Linked DNA regions of Arabidopsis thaliana. The protein of the gene in region 2 interacts with the protein of the main gene of each other region in a pairwise test. Each region holds a gene or a part of one and is shown on either strand. Other genes may lie near its edges.

Region 1 (3,929 bases), on a different chromosome or scaffold from region 2:
TCCACATAAAGACGTCAAGGTCGAACCAAACGCTTTAAAAAAAACTAAACTCTACCTTAATGAGAAGAGACAATGAAAAGGGTTGTTCTAAGACAACAGTCAACGGAGACTAAGGGAAAAAAGGGTTTCAGACTCTGAACGCTTACATGAATGCAAATCAAATTTTATTAGGAAAGTGAATCACTTTTATATGGCTTAGGAAACATGACTTGAAAACTAGAGTAACTAATGTTGTATATAATTTAATGCATACTATAAATAATCAATAGTTTCCCCAACCATGGTGATTTACCAGGGATACTCTGTCTCTCTTGTTACTCAGTTTCCAAAATTTCCATATTCAAAAATTTAGATTGTATAATTTAAACACACTTTAGTTTGGATATGATCAAGGGTAGTTACTTGATACAGTTTAGCTCCTATATTCAAGGGATTGCATATATTTCATTTTCAAGGGATTAACTACTTCTTCTATGTTCTGCTTTGATTTATTGATTTCTTCTAGAAAACACATCTTAAACTTTTCTAAATTTAATGTTGGTTAAAGTAATTTAAAAAAAAAACACTTCAAGCGCACAATGCTTTAGCACAAAATGCCTAAGAAAGAACTCAAGACATCAACCTATAGAGGATCTCCACAAAATGTCTCTGCCTTATCAGAGGGCAGTTTTTCAAAGCCTTGTCTAAAACATCTTAAGAACATCATTGAACGAGAGAGGAACATTAGCGGTCAAGTCATTTGCTTTCTCCTTGTCTAGAATATCTTTCAGGTCTAAGCGTTTCTGATTGAGTTTCTGCAAATCTTCCTCTATTTGTTGCAGCCGAGCCTTACCATTATCCACATTCTTCTTCTTTTCCTTTACTTCCTTGAGCTTCTTCTCCAACCAATCCACTTTAAAGCCACCTTGTGACACGAATAAAACTGCAATGGATGCTTCATCCAGATCAGTATCAGAGAGCTCCGCAGGCAGTTGGCACAGCGTTTCAATTATTCCGAGGAGTACATTCATGTATAATGTCTTCAGACATGGTTTCATTGAAGGGACTTCTGATGCAATGTTTGGGTATATTTCAAATATACGCTTCACAGATTCTACCTGTGAAAGAAGAAGAAAAAAATATCATAAAAGCTTTAGAAGCCCTGAATACATACAGAAACATTTTGTACATCAGAGTATTTAAATACAGAAAACCACAAAGAAGTATACTCGCATTAATCTTAAGTTTCTTACCTGTGAAGGAAGAACTTGAAACCCATTGACATCAATGATTTGTTGAGTCTGTTTGAGTAAATCAATAGAGTTGGCACCATCATTATTTGATGTGCCAATAACTTCAAGAGAAACAACCTCAATAACAATTGTTATTTCTCGGCAAATCAGAAACCCTGCATCTCTTGCAAGAAGGTTGAAAGGGGGTGGTACTGTTGGATAACTACAAGCGGGAAGATTCTCATCAAAGTATAGGTCTGAATCTGTAGCATCACCACAAGTATTAAAACATCAATATCACATTAAAACTAATCTAAATCAGTCACTCATTTTGCAAAAAGTATAAATAGAAGAATAACCTGTCACAATGGAGCGTTTATGAGAAATTCCATTTACTATAGTTAAGCGAAGTTTTACATGTCTTCTCCATGAAGAAGTCAGTGATTGACAAGAATCAGCAACCCCCATGTATTGATAGAAGAACTCATAGTTAGTTCCCTTTGGTAAGGCTAGAAGACGCCTACAAAAAAAATCAAATCACCAGAACATAATTAGATGAAAAGTACGTTTGGAACAAAAGTTGGTTCAGTTTTTACCATCTACTGCCAGCAATCAGAAAGGGATCAGAATGACTCTGCTTAGGATAAAAAACGTTGAGATCCTTTATCACCCAGACAAATTTCTTGTCAACTTCCTTCTCCATTATATTACTCGCAATGAAACTACAACAGCATGAAGAGAATTAAACCAAATTCATGTACCTACCAATCAAAGTATCAAACACACACACTCTCCAACAAATTCTTTCTTAGTTTAACAAAGATTTTACTATGAACTCAAAGACATATGAAGTTTCAGCCAGCAGTTTAAACTACTTAAAACTAGTTGACCGTAGTTGAGGAAAAGAAATATTCTAAGACATGCAAGATTAAGGGAATAAAGCGATTACCCTTGAGAGGCGAGTTGAAAGAGAAACAGCGACTCAGAAGTCAGAACTCGTACCCACTTTGTCCAAGTTAGTCCAAGTTTGTCAGAGCTACGAACCCAATCCAAAAACCAAATTACTTGGATCGAATAGTTCAAAAACGAGATTCAACCATTTTTATAACATTAATCCTCTAAACCAAAAAAAGGGAGATATCCAATTCCAATAAGGAAAGAAACTAAAATCCCTTCTTTGGAATTGACTTTTCCAATAAGGAAAGAAACTTGGACTTGAGATTCTGTTTCCTTTTTTCTTGGTGAATAGACCTTCCAAGGCTTTTTAGGTCCTTTTGTGTTAAAGAGAGGAACAGGATGCCAAACGTTTTCAAAAGGGGTTGCCAATTTCTTTTTTGATTTTTTTTTTTTTAGTAAAGGATACAGATTTTTACAGTAAACTTAGGAAATATTTGTTTAATTTAATGAAGATAACTGACGCTTTTATATATATAATCTTGCAACAATTTGTTCAAGTCATACCCTTACAAAACAAGTAACTAAATATTAGAGCAGAAGTGAATAAAAGAACCTAAAAGATTTTCTTAGAAATACTATGTTACATCTCAATGTCTTCTAGATCTGGTAAAGGGAACCTAAGAATAGCTGCAATTCCAGTATGCTGTGCTAGTTGTTCCCCTGAAGCATGCATTGACGAAAATATAAAAACCTCTCCTCCTGAATCTTTCACCGACTCCACAAAATCCACATACTTCTTCCTTGTTTTCACGTCAGAGTTCCTAAATAGCCCATCTATAATGAGAAGTGTTTGGATTGCCATTCGTTCATGAGCAACTTCCACATGTTTTGGTCCATAACATGCTCTATTTGGATCATTCGAAAACATGGTGAAGAAATCGTTGAGAGCTTTGACCTCTTTTGCTGCTTTAGTATCTTTGATCATATTCATCACGTTAGGGTCATGCAAAACCTCGCTTAGGCTATGTTTATATCCTGAGTTTGTGTGCACCAGAATGAAACGTGATTTGTTCTCAAGAATAGGTCTCAACTGTCTTCTCTCTGCTTCCAACAATAGGTGGCGATGAAACTGATCTTTTGTAAACCCGGGACTTGCAATCACTGCGCATCGAACCACACTGAAGTCAACGTGTTTCAGAAAGGCTTGCACAACATTCTCAAAGAATTTCTTCAAAACTGACTCGTAACCAGCCGTTCCAGCTCCATGCTTCCAAGGAATCGATGTTTTTATTCGTGCACCGCAACTTTTTACACTTTTGCCGGCAAGGAAGATTTGTGCCAGTCCTTCTTGCATTAGAACTACAGCTAAATCAGCACTAGCTGCAAGATCTGAGGCCTGCTTGAGTGTATCAAGAGCCAGTGAGTCCCAATTTTCCTTTCTCAATAAAAAAGGTCGTTTAAGCTCAATCTCCAAAGTATGGAATGCACCAATCCTTACATGCTCGTTCTCCATGATATTCTTCCCGCGTATGCGCATAACATCGCCGTCTTTGTCATAGTCCACCTCCTCAACTTGTACTTCTAGCTTAAGTTTAACACGTTCAGTCCGGGTGAAAGATCTTTTCTTTCCAAGGTATTTGCTTTCTATTCGACTTAGCGATGGAGTCGAGTCTCTTCCTTCACCACCAACTTTTCTGAAAGTGATAGCCATTACACTATCCTCCGGGCCAATCAGGTTATAAGTATACCAGAGATCATCCGAGTCCTCTGCCATCATCTTAACGCTTCCGGGTCCATTACGAACAAAATCCTTGCGAATGA
Region 2 (5,741 bases):
TTTATACCATTTATTTCCAAAGCTTAGCTCTCATAAATTAACTAATAACATTGTAATGTAGTTTATCAGAAAAATTGAAATGTAATGACTGGTATGCTAAAAAGTCAATATAAATATTATTAAAAAATGAAACTATGAGAAGATTTTCAGATTTTCATGATAAGATGAGACAATTCACTAGAAGAGAAAATGCAAGAAATAAGATTTTGTCTATTAAGCTAAAATAAAAACAAAAATGGAATCTAAAATATCTCTCACAAATTGGGATATTTTAAAGTCTCTTTTTTTTTTTTTTTTTTTTTTGATCTAAGGGATATTTGAAAGTCTTTTAGGCAAAATTCTGTGTAAAAATCTTTGCCACTGAAAACAAAGGAGCAGTCACATTCGCACTGAACCATTTTAGTTTGTCTCCTTGTTTTGGCAAGTTCCTTTGGCAAGTTCCTTTGGCTAATAATATCACAATTCACAAGCCTCTTTTTGTTTCTTGACTTAGAGAAGCATGAGGCATTGAACATGGTTCACTTTACATGAGGCTACTAAGTCTCCAAAACAACCCTGTGGTCATAAGGAGACTACTCTTTTGGTGAGTTCTTAAATAAAGTTAGTTTGTCTTTAAAATAGGGTAAAACACAGACTGCAACTAGACGTTACATCAGAGTATGGACCAATGCAACAACAGTCTATAAAGCATTTTTGAATCATAAAAAAAGAAGAAGCAAAACATTGCAGATCATTATCACTCAGATTACATTGTCATAGATCAAATCCTGATAACCTAAATCGAGTCAGATTCTTTCAAAGGGAATGATAAAGCTACAGAACCTGAGGCGATTCAAACTCTGTTGGGATCTTTCTCTTGCTTGTAATGGCAAGAGCCAACATGTCCTCACTGTGAGTTGCTTATGTCATTGGCCACTGTTATCATTATTTGATGATCAGTCTCAAGATTTGCATCCTGCAAAGATAGATCAGACATGCACAAGTTATGATAAAGACGAATGGATTCCTTTTCGTACAACAAATTGTTTGGTCAAAACATGATGTTGCTTACTTCATTCTTATTTAAAGGAAGATTCTGGGCTGTTTGAGGAGAGGCTTTGGATAAGTCCCTAAAAGCACCCTGAAAGTATAAATGTCGTCCTCATTTAGACAGACTAATCATCGAATCACTAGTGCTACAAAATGAGCAAGATAAAGAGAGTTGATCAAATTAAGAAGCAAGTATTGTCTTGCCTTGTTTGCCCACATAAGTCCACATGCATTGCAAAGTGTTCTTGGCCCGGCAGGTCCACGTCGCATCATTGGAGTTGACTTCTCGCCAATTCCACAGTGCCGACATCTTACAGGTATCAAGCCATTCAGAGGAAGTAAAATCAGATATGTTCTTACCAACTAAAGTAAGGCTATCAAGAAGAAAAACTCAAATCTACAAAGACTTAAACGACAATTGTCTATTCCAAAGTTATTATAAAAATTCTCAGTTCCAGGATACAATATTAGTCATCACAACCTGTCTTAACCAATCATCTATCACAGAAGTCATTTTGCTTCAGGCATGGAAGAGCTTTTATATAATATTTTGTCTGTATTGGTCCTTCAATGTTACCAATTCGTATAGGTCCATGCTCATGTTAAATATTACATATGCAATGTGTATGTCTTGATATTGAATCATTGATAGGTTTCAGAGTTCTAGTACCTCTACAACGTTTCTGAAACCAAAAACAACATCTAAGATGCTTAATAAACCTATCATCTCTACATTAGGATGGTTCAGTTTAATAACTAAGTCAGATGCTACATTAGGTTGGAAGCAAAAACAACTTCTAAAGTTGCTTAGCAAACCCATAATAACTACGTTAAGTTGGTTCAAGTTAAAAAGTATGTCAGGAACTCGCAGTTTACTTTCAAAGCATTTCTAAACTTACGAGATCTCTTGATGCTGAGCCTCACTACTTTCTATGGCCCAGGTTTGATTCGACCCCCAGCTAGATCCAGCAGATGCAGCTTCATCATTGTTTGACTTGGCAGATGTGAACTGACCTTTATTGCGTTGCATCCTGTATACCAGAAAACAAAAAGTAATCAAGATGCGAACCTTAATTTTGGGAGAGCAACCATAAAAGAAGTATAACTAGACCAAGTTGTTGATTTAGACATCAATGTACCTCAAAGCTACCTCCTTGCGGACTGTATACCGAATCTTCTTATCAAAATTCCTTCCTTTCCGTTTCTCTCGAAATCTGACCAAAGAAGCTAATCGCTGCGGAATACTAAACCTTTGAGGAGTACCAGGTAAACTCTGTTTCATTGATTAGTCAGTCAGTCAGTCAAGCAATGTATCAAGGAAGGGAACTTATGTCCCATAAATGCCATCATATATTTTATTACCGATACTCTGTTGTTCTGATGAGGTGATCCTAGGCCAGGAGGGGCTGCCTGAGGTAATTCACGACCACCCAATAATAGAAGCACAGCTTGAACCTGCAACAGGCGTCGAATAGCAAGAGGCACTCACACATTAGAATCAATAGATGGAAAAAACTCAAAGCTAACTAGATCCTTCAACCACTTGCTAAAATGTGGCTTGGAGTAAGAATATAAATTCTAATGGAATGAGACAATCAACGAACCAACTCAGTAACAACTTAACTCACCTTCTCAGGCAAGACACTGTCAAAAACGTAGACTTGGCCCTGAAAAGACAATGTTAACTGATCTCCTTGTTCACTACCACGGTCGACCACTTCACCACGATTGTCAGTTACATTTCCAGGGTGAGAAGGAATGTCTGTTTCCACACCCTCACTCATCCCACCAGCATTGCCATCATCAGCCTGGTCATCAACCATACCGCTTCCATTGTGGATGTGATGCAAAGCATGATGTTCAAATTGCACATGCATTGGATCTTGAGCTTCTCTAATGTGCATTCGAGCATTGCTTCCATGTAGGTCATCCATGGTTGCTTTTCATCAATCTACCTAATGATAACAGTGAAAGTAAAACAAATTAACATTAAAACTGGAAACTTCAAACAAAAACACCTAATCTTCATAAGCACGATTCATGGATGACCAGACAAATCAAATCAGCTCTAAGCAAAACATGATTCACATACTATATAACCTTACTTCCTCGGTCATTGGAGCAACTTACATATAAGTTCTAACTAACACTATACATAAATTCAGGAAACCTTATGGATCAATGCTTGTTTTCAAGAGATTAACACAGACTTCTAACATATTTGCATCAATCAGATTCAATCCAAAGTTTCAATATTTCCACGCTCTAAGCCTTACATAAACCATATTATACCAATTCCACAAACTCACTTATAATTTCAACAAACAAAATAAACCCTAAGAAACAAAAGCAAATCCTGAAACAAAGCGACATCCAAAACCATTGAAATATAGGTTCCTCATTACGACACACGAAACCAATATAAGAGTTAAGATGATGTTACCTGTTCGTGGGGAGCAACACCAAAAAGAGAAGAATGAAAGATGTTCGAAAGACCCAAACGAGAAACACCAAATAACACGACGGAAACGATGAAGATGACAATTGAACCGATGGATAACGCCACAAATAGAAGAACAGAGACAAACCAAACCCACCAGAACACCAACGAGACGAAAATGGAAACCAGATAGAAAGAGAAATCGAAGAAAGAGACGAACCAGTGGGGGCTAAAGAGACTCGATTGATTATTTTATCATCAAAAGAATAAATAAGCAAAAGTGCCGGAGATATAAATAAATACTTTTCTTTTGGTTTTTGGGTAAAGTTTCGTTTTTTAATTCTTTCTTCGTCTTCCTCCTTCTAACTACTAAAATCGGATCTATAACTTTTGTTCTTTGAGAGACTTATTTCTCTCTCGGTTTCTTACTCTTTTCGGATCAGAAATTTAAAAGCTTTTAACTTTTGTCTTGCTCTGTTTCATGGACACTGATTTCTCAATTGGTCTCTGTTTTTGTTGAGTGGGTTGAGAAGAGAGATGGCGAGAAGTAGATCGATTAGTGGTTATGGGATATGGAAATATTTGAATCCTGCGTATTATCTTAGAAGACCGAGACGTTTGGCTTTGCTTTTCATTGTCTTCGTCTCTGTTTCTATGCTTGTCTGGGATCGTATTAATCTTGCCCGAGAACATGAGGTATGTTTTGTCTAATGAAATCTGGTTAGACTCTGCCTAGGAGTAGGAGATAGTTCTTGTATCATAGCTTATTGGTAGGCCAATTCGAATTTTGGTGAAGTAGGTTATATGGTTTAGGCCTGGAATGGTTTGATTGCCTTCATAGCTCAAGGTCTATAAGTAAGACAGTTGGTGTTTTATTTACTAGAAAAGAGCTGTAATTAATATCTTCTGGACTCAATTCATGTATTCGTTTATAAGAAGCTATGTAACCAAAATAAGAAAAATGTCAAGGAAGTGAACAATTTCTCTTGTGATCATTCTCTCACTTGTCCTGCTTTTTTTTGTCTTGCAGGTTGAAGTTTTTAAGCTAAATGAAGAAGTTTCACGGTTGGAGCAGATGGTAAGATTAATATTTTCCCCTCACTCTAGGCTCAGATAGTCTTTCTAATGTTTTAGCTAACTAACTATATTTTCCGCTAGTTAGAAGAGCTTAATGGTGGTGTTGGCAATAAGCCTTTGAAGACTCTGAAGGATGCCCCAGAAGATCCAGTTGATAAACAGCGAAGGCAGAAAGTAAAAGAGGCAATGATCCATGCTTGGAGCTCTTATGAAAAGTATGCATGGGGGAAAGATGAGCTTCAGGTATACAATTATTTTCCAAAATACATTTCACCCTTGTGAATACGAAATCTAGTTTACGACGGACTCTATGAATCAAATTTTATTTTGACGTTTAGTGCCTGCTCTTCCAGTATCCTGTTGAGCCTTTTATTATGAGCTTATCTGAAGTTACCAGGCCTACAAAGATTTTGTTAAGAACTAAGATTATTTTCTTCCTGAACTCTGCAAAAAAAATATTGGTCTGAAGCTATTCTTGTTTCTTTCCTTTTTTTATTGTCAGCCTCGGACAAAAGATGGCACTGATAGCTTTGGTGGCCTTGGAGCAACTATGGTAGATTCTTTAGATACACTCTATATAATGGGTCTAGATGAGCAGTTTCAAAAAGCCAGAGAGTGAGTAATTGCAGGCTCTTCATTTATTCATATGTAACTGTTTTCGTCCCAGTTGCAAATCCAACTTTTTACTTCTTCATCTTTGCTAATCTTCATTTGCTTATTGTCTTTTATTTGCAGGTGGGTTGCAAGCTCATTGGATTTCGACAAGGATTATGACGCCAGTATGTTTGAGACAACCATAAGGTGGCTTTAACAGGTTTACTGTGGTTGTTTTCTGTAATTATCGTAGGAAGAGTCAGTTTATTTGCGATTATCAGTTGGTGACATAAGATGGGGAACGGATATTGCATCTGCTTATATTCTTTTTCTTTATCTGCCTTCAGAGTTGTAGGCGGACTTCTTAGTGCGTATGATCTTTCTGGGGACAAAATGTTCCTTGAAAAGGCTAAGGATATTGCAGACAGATTATTGCCTGCATGGAATACTCCAACGGGTATACCTTACAATATTATCAACTTGAGAAATGGAAATGCTCACAATCCTTCATGGGCGGCAGGGGTGAGTCCTAGATTACTGAGTGCCGTGTATGTTGTATTGTGTCATCTTGTGTCATGTAGATCTTTTTAAAGCCTAACCT
Region 3 (5,614 bases), on a different chromosome or scaffold from region 2:
GCTAATAGTTTGTCAAACATGGTTCACTCCGACAATGTCAGGCTTGAGCATGATGTAGCGTTCCTCAAAGCTGTCCTAGACGATACACAAAAGGTAAAATAATCCTAGTAGATATACAAGCGTTTTCAAAAGACTGAGGATTAAAGTTTAATACCGTTTTGTGTTATGGGTTTTGTAGGAGTTGCATTCAACAAGAGGAGTTCTTGCAGGAGAAAGAGCAAGAGCGTTCCAGTTGCAGGTGTCATCATAATCATCAATAGACTCTATTCAAATTTGCATTTTCAAAATGTAGTATTGTTCTAAAAACTTGAGATGAACGCAGGTTGAAGTGTTTCATCTGAAGCAAAGATTACAATCTCTAGAGAACAGAGCTGCTACACCCAGAAAGCCTTTCCATGTCTAAACACAGACCAGAGACAACACGATAACTTTTATGACTTCCATTTTGTAGTACTCGAGACATGACTGAATTCATGTGTGTTGTGGAGTAATGTATAATAGAAGTGAATTCAGAAATGTCAAAAATCAAATCAGATCCCAAGTAGAATAAGACAAGTGACGATATAAACAGCCATTTCATTAAACGTCACCAACTAATAAGCTTACAAAGATACACACACATGAGATGAGACTGTTTACTAGTGCGAGACTTTTGATCTCAATGATTTAGCATTTTTTTTAGGTAGACATAGAAAATAACATTATCACTGAGACTCTTCCTCAGGTGGTTCTTCTTCTTCTTGAAGAAGGTTCTCACGGTTGTCATGAGCCCAGAAGCCACGCACATCTATAAGCATGCTCGCAACGGTTCCACCTTGTTTACATCCCAAGAGATCACCCAGAGTGATCTTTAATGGGTCAGACGGTTTCACCATGTCCCAGATCTCGTCTCGAACATCTTCTATGCACAGTTCATAGTTCCCACCTTCTATCCATTTCTGGTGAACATCTCTGCAAGTTAAACAGATGAATTCAGAAGAGAGACAATGGCATTATCACACATCAATGGTGTGTTTGATATGCACTAGTGTCTTTGCAGATATGAGACTCGCGGAACAAAGCTCAGCTTCCGCAAGCAGGAAATGCAGAGTGTTTATTTAGGAAGATTGTATCAGATAACATCACAACTCTTTGATGCTCCCCTTCTTTACTTCCATGTTTCAAACAAAATTTACTAAAAAGTAAGAAACCAAACAGATTCAGTCGCTTCATAGAGATTCATTACCTGAAAAGAGAGTGAATATCAGCAGTAGTGAGAAAGCCTCTCCCTTGGAGATCAAGGCAACGGAATAAATACGTCAAACCCTCTGGAGTATCTTTGTTCTCCAAAGCAAGAACAAAATCGAGGAAACTGTCAAAGTCCATTTCCCGGGAATTGCCTGCCACGATTTTACCACGGCGGACATGCTCATCGAACACTAAAAAAACAAAGGGGAATTAGTATACTAAGCGTGTCTCGATCAGTACCACGAGCCTACAATCACCAAAAGGGCTTAAATTTACCTCTTTCAATGAAAATCTCAGTTAGGGTCCCATCAGCATATTCTTTAAGTTCTTGTTTGCACAGCGATCCACTCATATCTTTATCAAGTGCGAGGAACATATCTACAGAAGAAAGAGAAACTCTAGATCAATCTCCATTTTAGTTCTTAATATGACATAACGAGAGTTGTTTCCAGTTCTCTGCAGCTATTAAGACAAAATAGCACACCCACCACATATGCGTTGGGCTGAAGTCAAAGAGAACCAATTTTCTGCCTGTTCAGTGTCTGTGACTTCCTCCTCGCTTTCCTAACGTTGAGTAACCAAGGAACAATCAGAAAACACAAGCAAGTAGCTTATGAAAGTGGAAAGTTATACGGTGACGAAGCTGTATGTCATACATCCTTCAACTAAACTTACCTGATGCAATTCCATTAGTTCCTGCAGACAGTTACTGAGCAGTATCTTTTTAATGCAGGCTCTTCCTGTACGCAAAAAATATCACATTTACGAGCGATTGAATACTGGGTCAAAGAAATTTCTAATTGCCTAATAATAATAATATTTTCTTTCACTTACCTCGCCTATGGGGATCACAGAAGAAGAAAAACTTTTGTGAAGCTATGCGGCAATACATTTGATTAAAGGCCGGAGGCATGTCTCTCAGTTGTGCCAGATTAGGGATTAGACCACCAATATAGGACTCCATTTCCTATAATAACAACAGCAAGTAGACTAACTGTAAGGAACTTGACATAAAAGTCAACACCATTTGACATTTGCAGGTAGGACGACTACCTAAAGAATCTTGAGCCAATTCTAAAGTTAAAGCTTTAGAGCCACTTGAGTACTTACATCAGAATGAAGGAAACCATCAGAGTCTTCGTCAAGCTCACTCATATCAATCCTAGCTTGTGTAAGCGACACCTGAATAGTGTTGAACATATGATTAATCAAAACAAGTATTAACTATAGTTGTTTAAGTAAAAGACACGCCAAATTAAAAAAACTTGAAAAACAAACATCCAAAACTAGCAAAGCTGGTGTCACTCAAACACAGTACCAAAGAATATTTAGCTTATGGCGACAGATGATATTCAGCCAATGAACAAAAATGATACCCAAAGACATGACATTATAAAAACATAAGGATACTCACCGTGCGCATCACATAAAGATAAAACGGTAAAATGGCAATCCTCCCAGCCTCATCCTTCTCAAATTTCATGAAATTGGATGGGCTAAAAAACCGGCGACATTTGGGACCGATTTGTTCAGTGCATACAGAGGCAATGTGACAGAAGTCTTCATAGTTCATCTACATGAAAAAGACAGCGCAATATCAGCATCATTGTTAACATAGTTTCAGCTCCAGAGAAAAATCCTATAAAAGATGCACGTACCTTTTCAGCACCAGTGGCATCATCAATCACACAATTTTCTCTCAAACAAACCCACATAGCAGCCAAATCATCAGCGTTTAACAAAAGATCCGATTGTTTCTGTGGGAATTAATCAACATATCGAAGTGAGCAAAAACATTAAACTTCTTCTGAATAATTAAGAGCAGGCGAAATACCTTCAAGAAACGGTACTTTGCAAGCTTCTGGACCCTTTGACTAATAGATCCTTCTTCTGGTTTCTGAACCAAGAGTAAAGGAACAAAATTTTATTGCCTAACACGAATACTTAAAAGGAAAAACAACTTCTATGAAGTGTATAACACAATGCAATATTTTAACCGAGTAGTGCCTTGAAATGCAAAGGCAATCATTTTATACAGAGTAAGGGACATGCCTTCTTGTAGAAACTCGGTATTGTGCCTGCTTCTTGGCTTTTCTGTTGCTTCTCTTTAAAAATCTCGAGCAAGATTCTCTTCGTCTCAAGCTCTACAAAACAATGAACACAAACCCTTATCAAACTAAGCAAAACCAAAGACTCTATCACAGTTAAACATAGTCTTTCAATACATAGACATGTAAATTCAGGAACTTTACTCATATTGAAAACACAACGAGCTCTAAAATGTGATCAAAGATTCAAACTTTACAGAATTTATGACATCATCACAAGCTAAAAGATAAAAAAACTACAGACTGTCCCAACAACCAAAACGCAACAACCGGCAAAAGGAACATTACCCATTAGAGCTTCGGATCCTAATCCGGCACCGGAACCAATATATCGTCGTAGATTTCTAACCCAAAGCATCGAAGACGCCGGTGGGATCTTCCTCTGCGTCGATGTATCATGACTCTCACCATCGCTAGATCCGCTATACATTCTCGGAGATCGTCACAACCCTCGACGATAAATGTTAGTCACCAAATGAAGCAGAGAGATTAAAACCCTTAAATAGAATGGTGAGACTGAACCAGGAACTGCAGAAACCCTAAAGCGCCCCCTTTCTCTCTCTCTCCCTCTCTGGAGCTCAATCTGCGAGATCCAAGCTTCAAACTTCAAAGGTAATAAAAGTTTCTCCTTGTTTGCTATATAAGTCCTCAATTTTATACTACTTTTGATTGTAACCCCCTTTACTTTGAAAAATCAATATTTAGTACAAAATGTTGTTTATATCACATAAAGTCCCGTTAAGATTTATCAGAGAAACAAATGGCTTCCATATCCATTAACTGTTTCTTCACTCCTCAAGCTCTAGCCCGACCCAGTAGGACGAGGAAGATTTTCGCTAAACCTGACAAAGTCTCGGGAAGAACCCGAAGCCCTAGAAAAACGAAGCTTCAACGCGAAGTCGAGCTTAAATCTCGAGGCGGTGATAAACTCCAGCCAGTTTCTGATGCCGGCGGCGAAGCCACTACTTATACACGTCTTCCTCCTAGGGAAGATTACTATGATGTCTCTCTTTTGTCTTCATCTTATTTAAAAGTTTCTGAAGAAGTGAAGCTATCTGAGTCCAATGTCGCGAGGGTTGAGGAAAAGATTGAAACTTTGAGGGAAATTGAGGAAGAAGAGAAAGAAAAGGAGGTGAAGAGTTATGATGATGATGATATTTGGGGAAATTACAGAAGATTAGATGTGTTTGAAGGGAGTTCAAGATCAATTGATGAAGATGATGAAGATTGGGAAGACGAAGTGTTTGAGTATGGTGATGAAACTGATGCGGAGAAAGATGATAGTGAAGGGTCTGAATTGAAGGATGGAGAAGTGTTATGTTTCTCCGGTGAAGAGGAAGAGGATGAAATTGGGGTGAAGGAGAAAGGAGTTCCGGCTGTGATGAGGTGTTTCGATAGAGCGAAGATATATGTTAGAGCCGGAGATGGAGGGAATGGTGTGGTGGCGTTTAGGAGAGAAAAGTTTGTTCCTTTTGGAGGACCTTCAGGTGGAGATGGAGGGAGAGGAGGGAATGTGTATGTAGAGGTTGATGGGTCTATGAATTCGTTGTTGCCATTTCGCAAGAGTGTGCATTTCAGGGCGGGACGTGGGGAACATGGGAGAGGGAAGATGCAGAGTGGAGCTAAAGGTGATAATGTCGTGGTGAAAGTGGCTCCTGGGACGGTGGTTAGACAGGCTAGAGAGGTTGGGAGTGAGGTGGAGGGTGAGGAAGGGGAGGAGAAGGAGGTGCTTTTGGAGTTGTTGCATCCGGGACAGAGGGCGTTGTTGTTGCCTGGAGGGAGAGGTGGACGAGGGAATGCTTCGTTTAAGTCGGGGATGAATAAAGTTCCTAGGATTGCTGAGAATGGCGAAGAAGGTCCTGAAATGTAAGTGTGTATTTTTCTTCATTTTTGAGCTGGTTTTAGTTTAGTGTGTTGATGATGGTTACAAGCTTTGATAGGATAAACTAATCACAGAAGCTAGATTGTTCAAAGATGTAAAAATTTCATTTTGGTTTAGGAACAGTTGATTTGTATTTCTTTTGTTTGGTAAAGCTTGATGTTTACATGTGAGCCCTGCTTCCTTCATTCGATCATCTGGGTTAGGTTTAGTATCTCGGTTAATCTCCAGAGGAAATCTCATCTTGTAAGTAATGCTCACTATACAAGAATTTATATATAGATACAGGTACAGGACTTTTGAAAGTCTTCCATTGCTGACTCTGCTAGTAGAAAAGCTCATGTTGATAGAGGTATGTTAGAGTATTATGAACGGATATGAGTTTCTGGGTTATCTATAG

The links.
Region 1: the proteins of ZML2 (region 2) and AT3G58380 interact in binary tests that used the Arabidopsis thaliana proteins (3 or more experiments, as listed by UniProt).
Region 3: the proteins of ZML2 (region 2) and FASS interact in binary tests that used the Arabidopsis thaliana proteins (3 or more experiments, as listed by UniProt).

What each region holds. Positions count from the first base shown.
Region 1 is NC_003074.8:21,597,282-21,601,210, forward strand, and holds AT3G58380 (TRAF-like family protein), read right to left. Parts: upstream 2,328-3,929; 5' UTR 2,161-2,327; intron 1,934-2,160; 5' UTR 1,915-1,933; coding exon 1,808-1,914; intron 1,732-1,807; coding exon 1,571-1,731; intron 1,475-1,570; coding exon 1,233-1,474; intron 1,098-1,232; coding exon 684-1,097; 3' UTR 518-683; downstream 1-517. Other genes in the region: AT3G58390 (Eukaryotic release factor 1 (eRF1) family protein), read right to left, coding at 2,749-3,929.
Region 2 is NC_003070.9:19,130,398-19,136,138, reverse strand, and holds ZML2 (ZIM-LIKE 2), read right to left. Parts: upstream 3,919-5,741; 5' UTR 3,473-3,918; intron 2,985-3,472; 5' UTR 2,964-2,984; coding exon 2,658-2,963; intron 2,485-2,657; coding exon 2,392-2,484; intron 2,303-2,391; coding exon 2,169-2,302; intron 2,061-2,168; coding exon 1,929-2,060; intron 1,340-1,928; coding exon 1,234-1,339; intron 1,121-1,233; coding exon 1,052-1,120; intron 956-1,051; coding exon 887-955; 3' UTR 509-886; downstream 1-508. Other genes in the region: MNS1 (alpha-mannosidase 1), read left to right, coding at 4,007-4,165, 4,500-4,547, 4,628-4,789, 5,049-5,161, 5,282-5,347, 5,488-5,662. UniProt on the Arabidopsis thaliana protein: Transcriptional activator that specifically binds 5'-GATA-3' or 5'-GAT-3' motifs within gene promoters.
Region 3 is NC_003076.8:6,173,305-6,178,918, reverse strand, and holds FASS (tonneau 2 (TON2)), read right to left. Parts: upstream 3,948-5,614; 5' UTR 3,766-3,947; coding exon 3,624-3,765; intron 3,372-3,623; coding exon 3,280-3,371; intron 3,125-3,279; coding exon 3,062-3,124; intron 2,985-3,061; coding exon 2,886-2,984; intron 2,801-2,885; coding exon 2,642-2,800; intron 2,410-2,641; coding exon 2,338-2,409; intron 2,195-2,337; coding exon 2,062-2,194; intron 1,968-2,061; coding exon 1,903-1,967; intron 1,792-1,902; coding exon 1,716-1,791; intron 1,606-1,715; coding exon 1,504-1,605; intron 1,419-1,503; coding exon 1,226-1,418; intron 1,216-1,225; exon of another isoform or gene 952-1,215; coding exon 705-951; 3' UTR 518-704; downstream 1-517. Other genes in the region: AT5G18590 (Galactose oxidase/kelch repeat superfamily protein), read left to right, coding at 1-93, 179-238, 323-403; EMB269 (GTP1/OBG family protein), read left to right, coding at 4,096-5,201. UniProt on the Arabidopsis thaliana protein: Probable regulatory subunit of type 2A protein phosphatase involved in the control of the dynamic organization of the cortical cytoskeleton.